Canis lupus familiaris: one gene and its partners. The protein of the gene in region 2 interacts with the protein of the main gene of each other region in a pairwise test. Links are inferred from orthologs where the notes say so. Each region holds a gene or a part of one and is shown on either strand. Other genes may lie near its edges.

Region 1 (3,648 bases), on a different chromosome or scaffold from region 2:
ATCACTCTGGCATTTAGATTTCATTGACTGTATTAAAAGATCATCTGATAAAATATTTATTTTTAAAAGAAATGTTTACAGTATGCTAGAAATTGTATCCTTTAAAAAACAAGATTTTATTAATTTATTCATGAGAGACACACAGAGAGAGGCAGAGACATAGGCAGAGAAGCAGGCTCCCTATGGGAAGCCCGATGTGGGACTCGATCCCTGGACCCTGGGATCACAACCTGAGCCGAAGGCAGATGCTCAACCACTGAGCCACCAGGCATCTCTAGAAATTATATCCTATTTACTTTGAAATATTTTTTTACTTTGAAATATTTTATTATATTTTATTATGAAAAATGTAGATGCTAGCTTAAAAATATATTATCCTTTTTATAGTGGTAGTTTTCAAAATTCTTTAGGAGGCATGTGGCATTTGAAGACAACTGCGTTTGTGTAGAGGGATGCCTAGGACAATGCCTGAACCAGCATCAGAGTTGGCTGGAGACCAGCCTGAAAGGTCGGAGACCCCCGCAGGCGTTTGGTCCCCAGGGAAGGTGGCAAGTGATGAGTGCATGTCACTTGCAGGCTGTCCCACGTTTGTCCCTGCAAACCAGCAGGATTCCACAGTGGGGGCTGCTCTGGGGAGACCCAGCCCCTCACTCCAAATCAGTTACCACTTCAAAGCTCAGTTCTCACTGAGGAGAGTTTTGAGAAAAGCTCTTATGGCTGGTGCTCTAGGTCAGCGGGCAAGTGAGAGACCATCCACTTCCTTCTCCTTGCACCCCAACCACAGCCATCACGTTTCCCTCAGAAGGACTAAGATCCAAAGAGTAGAGCAACCAGCAGAACAGACACAGTGTTTCAAATCATGTGTCTGATGAGGGAAACAAGCCCATCACAAAAAGACAAAACTATAGGATTGCAGTTGTTTGAAGGAGTTGGAGGTGTCATGGTCCTAGAGCCATGGCAGGAGACGGGGCTGGGGATGGTGCTGGGGATGGTGCTGGGGACAGGGCTAGGGACAGGGCCCAGCATCCATTTCTGACGGGACAGACTCAGCTTCACAGGAGGAAACGGCACGTGGACGGTGCGCATGTTCGCACAACGCTGTGAATGTGTTGCTGCCACTGAACTGTACACTTAAGAATGGTTAATACAGTAAATGTTATGTTTTGTGTATTTTGCCACAATAAAAAATAGGGAAAATGCTAACATCCCCTTTCCTATCTCTTTTTGCTAACTTTGGGTTCCATTCAGCATAGGAACCGTGTTTGCCGTCCTTCTGAATTAACAAGGTCAGCCTCATCAGCACCACTCAGACTTGCCTCCTGTCAGGAAGAAGTCTGGATTCATTTTCACTTCAGATCAACACATTAGGACATATTTTGAAGAAAACAACTAGAAGCAGTGAGAAGAAATGAGAGGTTCTTAGACCAAAGACAGGGCAGAAGCTGTGCAGAACAGGCTGGCTTGTGCGACATTTACTCACCACTTGCCAGGGATGTGGCCTGAGTCCTGCAGAGATGGGGGCAGCCGGCATCCCTTCATGGGGGCGCACCGGGGGGCTCTCAGCTGGAATCACCTCCCACCAATGACCTGGGAAAAGAGAGACACTTTCTTGTTTCACTGGACACAGTCCAACTTCCAACTCTCTTTATGTATTTAATGAAAAGAACATGGACACGAGTAAAAACTAATTGCTCCAGAAGTTAGTTTGCCTTAGATAGAGATGGCAGAGATGATGGCTTTTGTTGAAATAGATATTCATGATGTGATGACATAACCAAATCTGAACAAAACCACTTTAAATCTTGTAGGTGTGAACTCTTGAATCTTGAAAGGTTTGCTCACCCTGGGCCAGGAGGTGATGGTGCTCGGGATAAACACTGAGAAGATAATGCAGGAGGGATTTTGGGGTTGCTGTGCGGTGTTCACAGGCCCGGGCTCAGAGGGCGCCTCCTGCTGCGGCAGGGATGAGCAGAGCCTTGGTGAGCTCAGGGCCTTCCTCCCCTTACCCAGTGTGTGGGAGGCCCTGGGGCTTCTGCTTACTCATCCAAGGTGGCTTTTCTCAAACCAGTATTTTGGAACGTCTCACTGTTGTGCGCCTTTAAGTATTTTATCCCTGGGGCAATGCAGGATGGCTGAGGACTTGGTTTTCTTCTGCTTTTTGAAAAGGGAAACGGATCGGGAAACTGGTTCTCAGGGATCTGCAGACTTGGAGATTTGGAGATTGCCTTAAAATCAGAGGTTTCATGTGTTTGGTTCTCAGCCCAGCAGCACCAGCTTCTTCTGGGAACTTGTTGAAAATGCAGATTCTCGGGCTGGTCTCCAGGTCAGCCAAGTCCAGACCTCTGGGGCCTTCAGGTAGCTCTTATGCCCACCCAATTGGAAAGCCACACAGACCCATATGGTCTGAGTTGATTTGCCCTTGACTAATTGACATAACATCTAGATGATGTAATGACTCTTTTAGTATAAACATCAGACGTTTCATTTTTGTGTATTTTGGAACCCCTGTAATTAGTTTTCAGATATGTTGAAGAGCGCTGCATTTGTCCTGCCTGAGGAATAAAGGTCTCTCTTGCCAAGTGAGGAACAGCAAAACTCCAGAAAGCCTTAGGCCAGGCAGGCCGTGTGCCAGGGTCCCAGGATACTTTGGCCTGTGGGAGGTGACCCAGGGTCCTGTCCCAGCAGATAACTCTCGGCCCCGAGCCAGGGACTGTCAGGAAAGATGGGCCTGGGCATTCCCCAGAGCAGACAGAGCGAATACCAGCTTTTTAGGGAGAGAGACCTGCTCTGTGTTTTTGGCCAGCACCCAGGTCTCCCGAGATTTCCGAGGCCTCCTTCTTACCACTTTCCTTACTTCCTTCACTTCTGCTTCCACTTCCCATCCTTTGGAAGGACAGCCCTTTGGTCTTTTTGAAATGCAAATCATATCAAATCAGTTCATCTCATCCACCATCCCTGTAATTAATTTCTTTTTTTCAAAAAGATTTTATTTATTTATTCATGATAGAGAGAGAGAGAGAGAGAGAGAGAGAGGCAGAGACACAGGCAGAGGGAGAAGCAGGCTCCATGCTGGGAGCCCGACACGGAACTCGATCCCGGGACTCCAGGATCGCGCCCTGGGCCAAAGGCAGGCACCAAACCGCTGAGCCACTCAGGGATCCCCATTGTAATTAATTTCAACAGGGCTTTTCTTCGACAGCCTGAGCTCTAGCACCCGTCCTGTCCTCAGGATGTGGGTCAGAGGTGACAGAAACAATCTTGCACACTTTTGACTTTGCACAAGCTACCCCCGCTGGTCCCTGGGCCTCACGGAGGATGGCACACACCTGTCATTAAGTGAACAAGCTACTCATTTACACCTTGTCTCTTGTGTTTTAGTTTGGGGCTGAGTTCCGAAGGTTCTCCTTGGACCGGCACAAGCCTGGGAAGTTTGAAGACTTCTACAAGCTGGTCGTGCACACGCACCACATCGCCAACACAGATGTGACCATCGGCTATGCAGATGTGCACGGGGACCTGCTGCCCATCAACAACGATGACAACTTTTGCAAGGCGGTCTCAAGCGCAAACCCTCTGCTCCGGGTCTTCATCCAGAAGCGAGGTACCGGGGCATGGGGAGCTGCTTGTCAGTGCCATCACACACAGGCC
Region 2 (4,304 bases):
AAGGGAGTAAGAAGGCTTTCTGATAACAGCCTTTCATAAGATCTGAAAGAAAAACTTTTTTCAAATGCAGATTGACCCTACATTTCTTGATATAAAGGATTTTTCTATTTAAAAATGAGGTAGGTGTTCTAGTTAGCCAACCTGTTTATTAGCTATCCTCATTGGTGACTCATTTTAGTTTCATCTGTAGTAATGAGCAGCTGACTATGTAATATCAAAACCACCAGTTTAGACTATTGTTAATAAACATATAATCTTAACATCTAATTTCAGGGGACAGAAATTGGAACAATTTAGAGAGTGCTGATGTTGTCTTTAAATGAGGCTTGAAATGAAGGCACTATTAGAAAGCTTTCAACGAATAAAAAGCAATAAAGGTCAAGGGCTAGATTCTTTCATTCCTTAGCAAAAATTCACAGATGTTAAAAAACAAAATGTTAACTTGAGAATGTCTTAGAAAAATTTTAGTCAGGCACTAAAAGTATATGCCCTCTTCTATTTTCTTTTATAACAATAATTATAGTAATAAGCCAAGAAAATTTGACACCTAACATTCCTTAAATATATTTTTATTTCTTTCTAAAGAAGTTTATAATGATTTTAATTTACTAACTAGGCCTTTTTAGATTTGTCAAACGAATAAAAACAGGAGAAAGAAACCTAATTCCTTCCTCTTCATATTTAAAGTCATCGGAAACTATTTAAATTTAATAAGCCAAGAATTTGCATTGTTTAAAGTCATAAATGCAGACCAGAGAACTGAAAATAATAGCTTAAGAATCAAAAATTGAAAAGCACCAACCAGGAGAAGGACAAGCAAAAGGTAGCATTCACCCAATTTCTCATCTTTCAGTGGAAGGAACCAATAGGTACCACCTAAAGTTGAATCATGAAAGAGAATAAGGTAATAAAGAATAAAGGCAAACCTCCAGAAGAACAGAAATAAACTGTTAACAGTCTACCTCTGGAAGTGGGGAGGATGAGATGGAAGACACTTTTTTTTTTTTTTTTTTAAGATTTTATTTGTCAATTCATGAGAGACACAGAGAGAGGCTGAGATACAGGCAGAGGGAGAAGCAGGCTCCCTTCGGGGAGTCTAATGCAGGACTCCATCCCAGGACCCCAGGGTCACGTCCTGAGCAAAAGGCAGAAGCTCAACCACTGAGCCACCCAGGTGCCACGAGAGACACTCACCTTATACCTCTGTACAATTTGCACATTCCTACCATGTGAGTATATTCATTTTTAATCCCGTTTTTTTTAACTGTCAATAATGAAACACTTAAAAAAAAAAACACATACTATATATTTCATTCTCTTTGCCTAACAGCTCATGGACTGTCAATTTTATAAAATGGCAACTGAATTAATCTCTTAATTAAAGGTAAGGTAAAGGAAGCAAAGCTTTTTTCCCCCACAGTGCAAAGTTCATTGACCATATTCATGTCAAAACTGCGCTTGTGACCACTACAAACTTAAAAAAAAAAAAAACCATACACACACTTCTTAGTATTGTTTTTAAAATGAAGACCTCCTTGATCAATTTAAGCAAAAACGCGGATACTGTCCAAAATAATTCTTGTAAACTATGCTGAATAGGCTAACAAACAAGAGGTCAGCGGCTACACAGCAGCGAGTGATTAAGTGGTTACATCAAATCAATAAGACGTTTGACGGCTCCTATTTCCTTTAAAATCAAAACAAGAGAGGTGTTTTGAAAGTTTGCTATCTTCACTGATCCTCTCAGGAATGTACAAGTATGCACTGCAGTCTCAACCTCCTAGTGCTTGAGGGTTTTTTTTTTTTCTTTTTTTCTTTCTTCTTTTTTTTTTTTTTTTTTTTGAGCAATTTACTTCTGCTTGGACAAACAGTAAGACAGGCCAAAGCCATTGGCTTTGCTGTTAACCCTTTGCCTCAAATCTTGGCCTTCACACGACCATTTCACCTTTCTAATGCTACTAAAGGTAATCATCTCAAATTTCAAAACGCAACTGAAAACAAGGGAAGGGGGATACTCCAGGTCACTGATTACAGGGTATGATCTGATACAACAGTATTAGCACTAGGTCCCTCCTGGTAAGCACAGGAGCTCTAAGTTGGGGAATCTGAGTACATAGCACAGATTTTAAAACCACGCCTCGGTTCGCCCCCCTCTCTCCTTGCAGCGTCTCCCCCTGTCCAGTAAGTGGTCCCTGAGCCAACACTGACAAAGGAGCGTTCACAAATTTTTAATTCGCACCTATACGACCTGCTCTTGGCGAGACCTGAGTGCCTAATGCACGGCCCTAAAAAGGCAGCAACTTTACCCGTGAGCAGTAACTCCGCGTCTCCGAGGGAGGCAGGCAGGCAGCCGGGCGGGCTCAGAGCAGCGCGCCGACTCCTCTGCGCCGCGAAGGTGGGGCGGCCCCGGAGCAGCCGAGGCTTCGGGCCTTGGGCTGCTGGCGGAGCCGGCGGACTACGGGAGTCCTGGCTTTTCAGCCCGCGGCCACCTTAGCTCGCCCAGGCGCCCCTCGGAACCAGCCCTGAACCCCACACGCACTCGGGCTCAAGGGCGCAAAGCCCCCGCGCGCCTCTTGGCAGGCGGCGGGTCTCGAAGCCACCAGGTGGACCCTCTCCATGCCCAGGCTCCGCCCTGGGACCCTCGCCGGACCCGGGCCGGACCCGGCTGCACCCGGGCGCCCCAGCGCCACCCCGCGACCGCTCGGCGCCCCCCGCCCCGCGCTGCCCTCCCCGCCTCCCGGGACACTCACCCGCGGTAGTAGGCTTTCACCCGGACCTGGTGGGAATGGTCCCCGCTGCCGCCGCCCGCGATCGCGTGAGACATGGCACTGCTGTCCCTCTGGGTCGGCATCTCCCTGCTCCCCCGCCCCAGCGCGGAGGCCGAGGCTGCGGGGGGCGCGCCGGGCGCCGGGGGCGGCGGGGGCGGGGGCGGGCGCGCTCCGCTGCAGAGTCTCCCGCTCGGCCTCCCGCTCGGCCTCCCGCTCGGCCTCCCGCACGGCCTCCCGCTCGGCCACCTGCGCGGTCCGCCCGACCCGAGGGGCGCCTGGCCGGGGCAGCCGGAACCGCGCGGCTCCTCCCGCCGGGCCCAGCACGCCTCCCCTCCGGGCCCTCCCACCTCGCCCGCTCCAAAGGCGCACATTCCGGGGGAGGGCGGGCGCGACCATCCGAGCATCTCCAGGAGCCTCGACGCCGGGCCGAACCATCCTCACGGGGGCCGCGGAGAGGGGGGCGGGAGGATGGCGGCGCCGGGTGGCACATCGGTGGGCCGGGGAGGGGCCTCCGCGGCCCCCGCGACTGAGGGAAGGCCAGAGCTGTCCGCGAAGGGCGCCCTCCCCACGGGGGACACGGGCGGGGGCCCGGGCTGCGGCATCTCACCCCGCGGCCTGACTTGGTCCCGCCCGCCGCCGGCCCGAGCGGGGCTGGGCCGGGTTTCTGGGATTTGCAGTCCCGGTGGGAGGCCGGGCCTGGAGGCTCTCGGCGTCGGAACCCGGCCTCCCCCGCGCAGCCGCCCGAGTCCGAGCCCCGCGTGCGCGCCCCCCGCAGCCTCGGCCAGGGGCTCGCCCGCCTGGAACCCCGGCTGCAGCGTGGGCACCTGAGGTCGCGGCGAGCGGTTGGGCTTCGTCCCCATCTCTACAGTGGGTTCCCCGATGCAGTCCCCCTTCCAGCTGCATGCACCAGCTCCAGTGCACGGTGCCTTTTTTGGAGGACGAGACGCTGGTCAACCGGCTGGGCACACGCTCTTTTATGGAAAGACTTTAATAACATATGTAACAAATGTAGTAAAGGAGGAAACTCAGCTAGAAGGTGTGGAAGACCGGCATTGCCTCCTTTGCAGCCCCCCCCCCCCCCCCCCACCGCACCTTGGCCCTGGTATATCGCCATCGCCTGGCACAGGTGCACAGTGGTTATCCGAGCCATCCATCAGCACTATTTTTTTTTTTCTATTCTTTTCTATCACTGGCTAGCCAAAGATGACAGTATAAAGGATCCGTCTTTGTAGCTTAGTCTCTGATCTTCCATTGATCTTGGCTCTGGCACATAGTGCAACTACAAGGAGCAATGAATCCAGCTCCGGCTTTGGTCCTGGCACCAGCACATGCTAAAAAAGGTTGAAATAATCAAGACTATAACCTGCTTTACTGTGATAAAATAGGGCTGGAGGATTGACTCATCAGAGTTATGTCTGACACTTCGTCTGCGGTGATGTCCTTTAACTGCTACAAACGTGGATTATAGACTCCTAATAAAAACTGTTGAAAGACCTTGGTATCAGAGTTTTGAGAACTCGGGACTTACATCCACAT
Region 3 (3,594 bases), on a different chromosome or scaffold from region 2:
TTCTAAAACTTCATCATTAACAGCTAATAGTCCTGTGCTTTGGGCCAGGCCTCCTGGGACAAGTCTGGATATAAAGATCCCTGGGACCTTCTCTAAGCCATGCGGTGTGACCCTGACACTGGAGCCATCCCGGATGTAGAATCCTAAAGGTTTCTCAGTGCCGTATTTGTAAAGACGAACCCTACGATGTGTTTCTGGGAGAATATCCACGTCTATGATAGAAGACACAGGTCTGAAGTCTTGGGGCATACTAATGACTATATGTGGCTTTTTTCTGTGGTTGTCAGGACGTAATACATTGGTCAAAACATTTTTCTTCTTTATTAGTGTGTCTGTACCAAAGGCACTGTAGTCTGCTTCTTCTGTTTAAAAATAAAATAAAATAAAATTACAGAAATGCTGTAAAAACACCCATTTAACCACAGTTGAATCTATATAGAAGGGATAACTCACATGTGTTGGTACATAAACAATTTAAATATTAGCTTGTTTTTAATCATCAAAATATAGTGCAGTAGTTAGATTTGCTGAACTAACACACAACCACTAGGGGGCCCTCTCAAGCACACGTCATAAAATCCCAAATGCTGAATTTGATAAACCTCAAGGATGATTAAATAAAATTGAGGGGAAAATGAAATTCTGATAAGCCTTACGAACGCATTCTGAAACATCATTTCAAATGAGTTACTTAAAATGTATTTTCCCTTCATTTGTTTTTTAAGAAACTCCAGGCTGGCTGTCTATCTCTTACTCAATGATCTAAAATGGGACACTTATGATTCCCAAGGTAAATCAAGAGAACGAACCTACACCACAGGCTAGCTGGGCAGATAATGTAATTAAATGAAACAGTATGCAATGTAATTAGATGAATGTATATCTAGAACTTAGGAAATTTTGGTTTTCTGCAAATAAATGTTCTCCTCTCAATTTTCTGGGGGGAGTTCTTCATTTTCATTTCCTTACTTTGGAAAACTTTTTTCTTTACTGTGTGAAAAACAATGAAATGCAAAGGAATCTGTCTCGGCAGTAGTGGCGGCAGCGCAGACAACACAGAGTGGGAGGACTGGCAAACTGGAGCGCCCTGGCCTCCTGGAACGGCACAGTGGCCCCTTGCTCCTGGCAGTCTTTCTTCGTCTATAGCAATCTGTGTGGCCAAATCCAATTTGCCACGGAGCCTTGTTTTTTAAGTGAAAATTTTCTCATTTTTAAATGCTGACACCCAATTAAATAACAACAAAACCCAGTTTGAGTCAAATAACATCTGTGAGTTGAATTCATTCTTCCAGCCAGCAGTCTATAATCTCTGATGTAAACTAAGGGAAAACTGGGCATCTAAACCCAGATACACATTCTTAAATCACACTGCTGCAGGAAAAGACCTACAAACAAAACACCTCATCAGAGAATGAGAGGTAGAAAAGGAAATGAAATCATCAGGCATAAAACTTGAAATTATGTTTCAAATATAACAAAGAAGAAACTTAAAAGTCAGAATCTTCAAGGGTAAAAATATATTTCATAAGAACAAAGGAGACAAAAGCCCCCTCCCACAAGGAGCTAATTCAAAACCCTAGTCTCAGCTACTGCTCCAGACAACAGTACTCTCAAACTGAACTGTGGTTGGACAGGGTTCAGTTTACATGCTTTCCCTTGACTCTCACACTCTATTGACAATTATAATCATCTTTCCTCTCTAAACCAGGAAATTAAGGGTACAAAATAATGATTAAGAGTACAAAATACAGAGAAAAGACTGGATCTTAATTTTCTTGGTGGGCCAATACCTTACCCATGTACAAACGAGTATTAAGTGTCAGGTGTGTGACTGAGTATGGAGAACCTTGGTATTTTTTCTGTGCTTCTTTAACATTCTTCAAAATGTTGCAGAGAAACATACAAGACTAAGGGTACCTTAATTTTTGGCATTTTTCCCTTCTGGGGATAACTGTCTTCATTTATAAAGTATGTACACTGTGTTCTCAGAGACAAATTTATTTATAATTCGGCTTTGGAAATTAACCCACTGACAGGAGAATCTTTTTGGCAACATTTAACCAAGAGCCTATCAATGGTAGTCTTCTACTTAATGTATTTTCTCAAAAGTATATGTTTTCATTTTAAAACAATTAAGAAAACTCACATAATATTTATAAGGAAAATTCGAGACCATACACACTGAGAACAAAATTAAGTTGCCTGCATGGGAAACCCGATGAAAAAAAAAGAGAAAACCACCCCAAATCTGCATAATTTGGCATCGCATCCAGACTGTTTGAATGCTCTCTGCTAAATTCTCAAAAGCAATATGCCCCAGTACAAAGGCACCTTTGTTCTCCCATCTAGCTAATCAGTTTCCAGCCACTGGGAAAAGAAATATTTTGGCAGAAAGCCAGGGTGCAGAGTGTTAAAGTGTAAAGGTGACTGTCCACAGGGAACCAGGAGTTCACTTTCTACCTGAGTCTGTGTATCAAAGCACTAAGCTGAGAATAAGATGGAAAGTTTGCAAACCGGGTTCACAGCAACCTCCCTGCTGTAAAAACCCAGGCTTATGCAACAGAACATGATACAGGCTTATACAGCAATCCCTCCCTCATCCCAAGCCTGTCCCTCAGCCACAATCTCGGCTGACTACAATCAACAAGGATCCACTTGGAATGCCTCTGAGTAGCCAAACTGCATGTTTCACTTCCTTACATGCAGAAAGCACAGTCCTGTGCTTTACTTATAGAGGGACCTTGTGGGTACTCCCTCTAGACCTCTTACTCTTTAAACAGTTAATTCCGAAAAGCCTGGTTATCTCATTCCTTAACTCCCAGAGTTCCAAGTCACAGATTCAGAGCAGGGGGGTCAGGGTCTAGTAGTGGTAGGCACAGATACACAAAATAAAAGCCTACAGTGTTAAAGCAAACATGGGGGGGGGGGGGAGCGGAGAGAAAAAACCAAAACCCAAACCCTCAAATAATCCCCATCATCATCCGTGTACAGTAACAAAACAGTAACAGTTCATGGTAGGGTCATCAAGAAAGTTCAAGATTATGACCCATTTGAAGTTCAGTGAGAAGACAGGGAAGAATGAAGTAATTTTTGTAATTCTTCTATTCCAAGGTTGACAACCTTCTCCCCTGAAGAGCTGTATGTAAGTACTTTAGGTACTACAGGTCATACAGTTGCTGCTCCAAGACCAGCCATAGCCAATACATAAAGGAATGAGCATGGCTATGTTCCAAGAAAACTTTATTTACAAAAACAACCAGCAAGCCTTGTTTGCCAACCCTTGTTCTAATCCAAAATGGTTAAATGAACTAGATCTGGCAACTTTTAATGGATTAAACATCACCTAAAGCAATATTCAAACTAAGCAAATCCCTCCCCTTCCTAATATAAGAATAACCAATCACTAAACATTTCAGAATCATTGCAATGAGGCCAAGCTTTGTGTTCTACGCTGCAGATTCAGCAAACAAAAGAGTTAAGGTGGGTGCTTGCTTTCATGGTGCTTACTTACAGTGACAAGAGGAGATGGCAATTAGCAACTGCAAACAAGTTATTACAAAAGGAGCCAAGAGCAGTGGGGTAGGAGCCTAACCT

Evidence for each region.
Region 1: the proteins of PRKCI (region 2) and PARD6G interact in binary tests that used the Homo sapiens proteins (3 or more experiments, as listed by UniProt). The link is inferred for Canis lupus familiaris from reciprocal best matches to the Homo sapiens genes PRKCI and PARD6G.
Region 3: the proteins of PRKCI (region 2) and PARD6B interact in binary tests that used the Homo sapiens proteins (3 or more experiments, as listed by UniProt). The link is inferred for Canis lupus familiaris from reciprocal best matches to the Homo sapiens genes PRKCI and PARD6B.

The regions. Positions count from the first base shown.
Region 1 is NC_049222.1:475,417-479,064, forward strand, and holds part of PARD6G (partitioning defective 6 homolog gamma), read left to right. Parts: intron 1-3,378; coding exon 3,379-3,601; intron 3,602-3,648. UniProt on the Homo sapiens protein: Adapter protein involved in asymmetrical cell division and cell polarization processes. May play a role in the formation of epithelial tight junctions. The PARD6-PARD3 complex links GTP-bound Rho small GTPases to atypical protein kinase C proteins.
Region 2 is NC_049255.1:35,023,555-35,027,858, reverse strand, and holds the start of PRKCI (protein kinase C iota type), read right to left. Parts: upstream 2,852-4,304; coding exon 2,751-2,851; intron 2,593-2,750; exon of another isoform or gene 2,307-2,592; intron 1-2,306.
Region 3 is NC_049245.1:37,740,480-37,744,073, reverse strand, and holds part of PARD6B (partitioning defective 6 homolog beta), read right to left. Parts: intron 363-3,594; coding exon 1-362. UniProt on the Homo sapiens protein: Adapter protein involved in asymmetrical cell division and cell polarization processes. Probably involved in formation of epithelial tight junctions.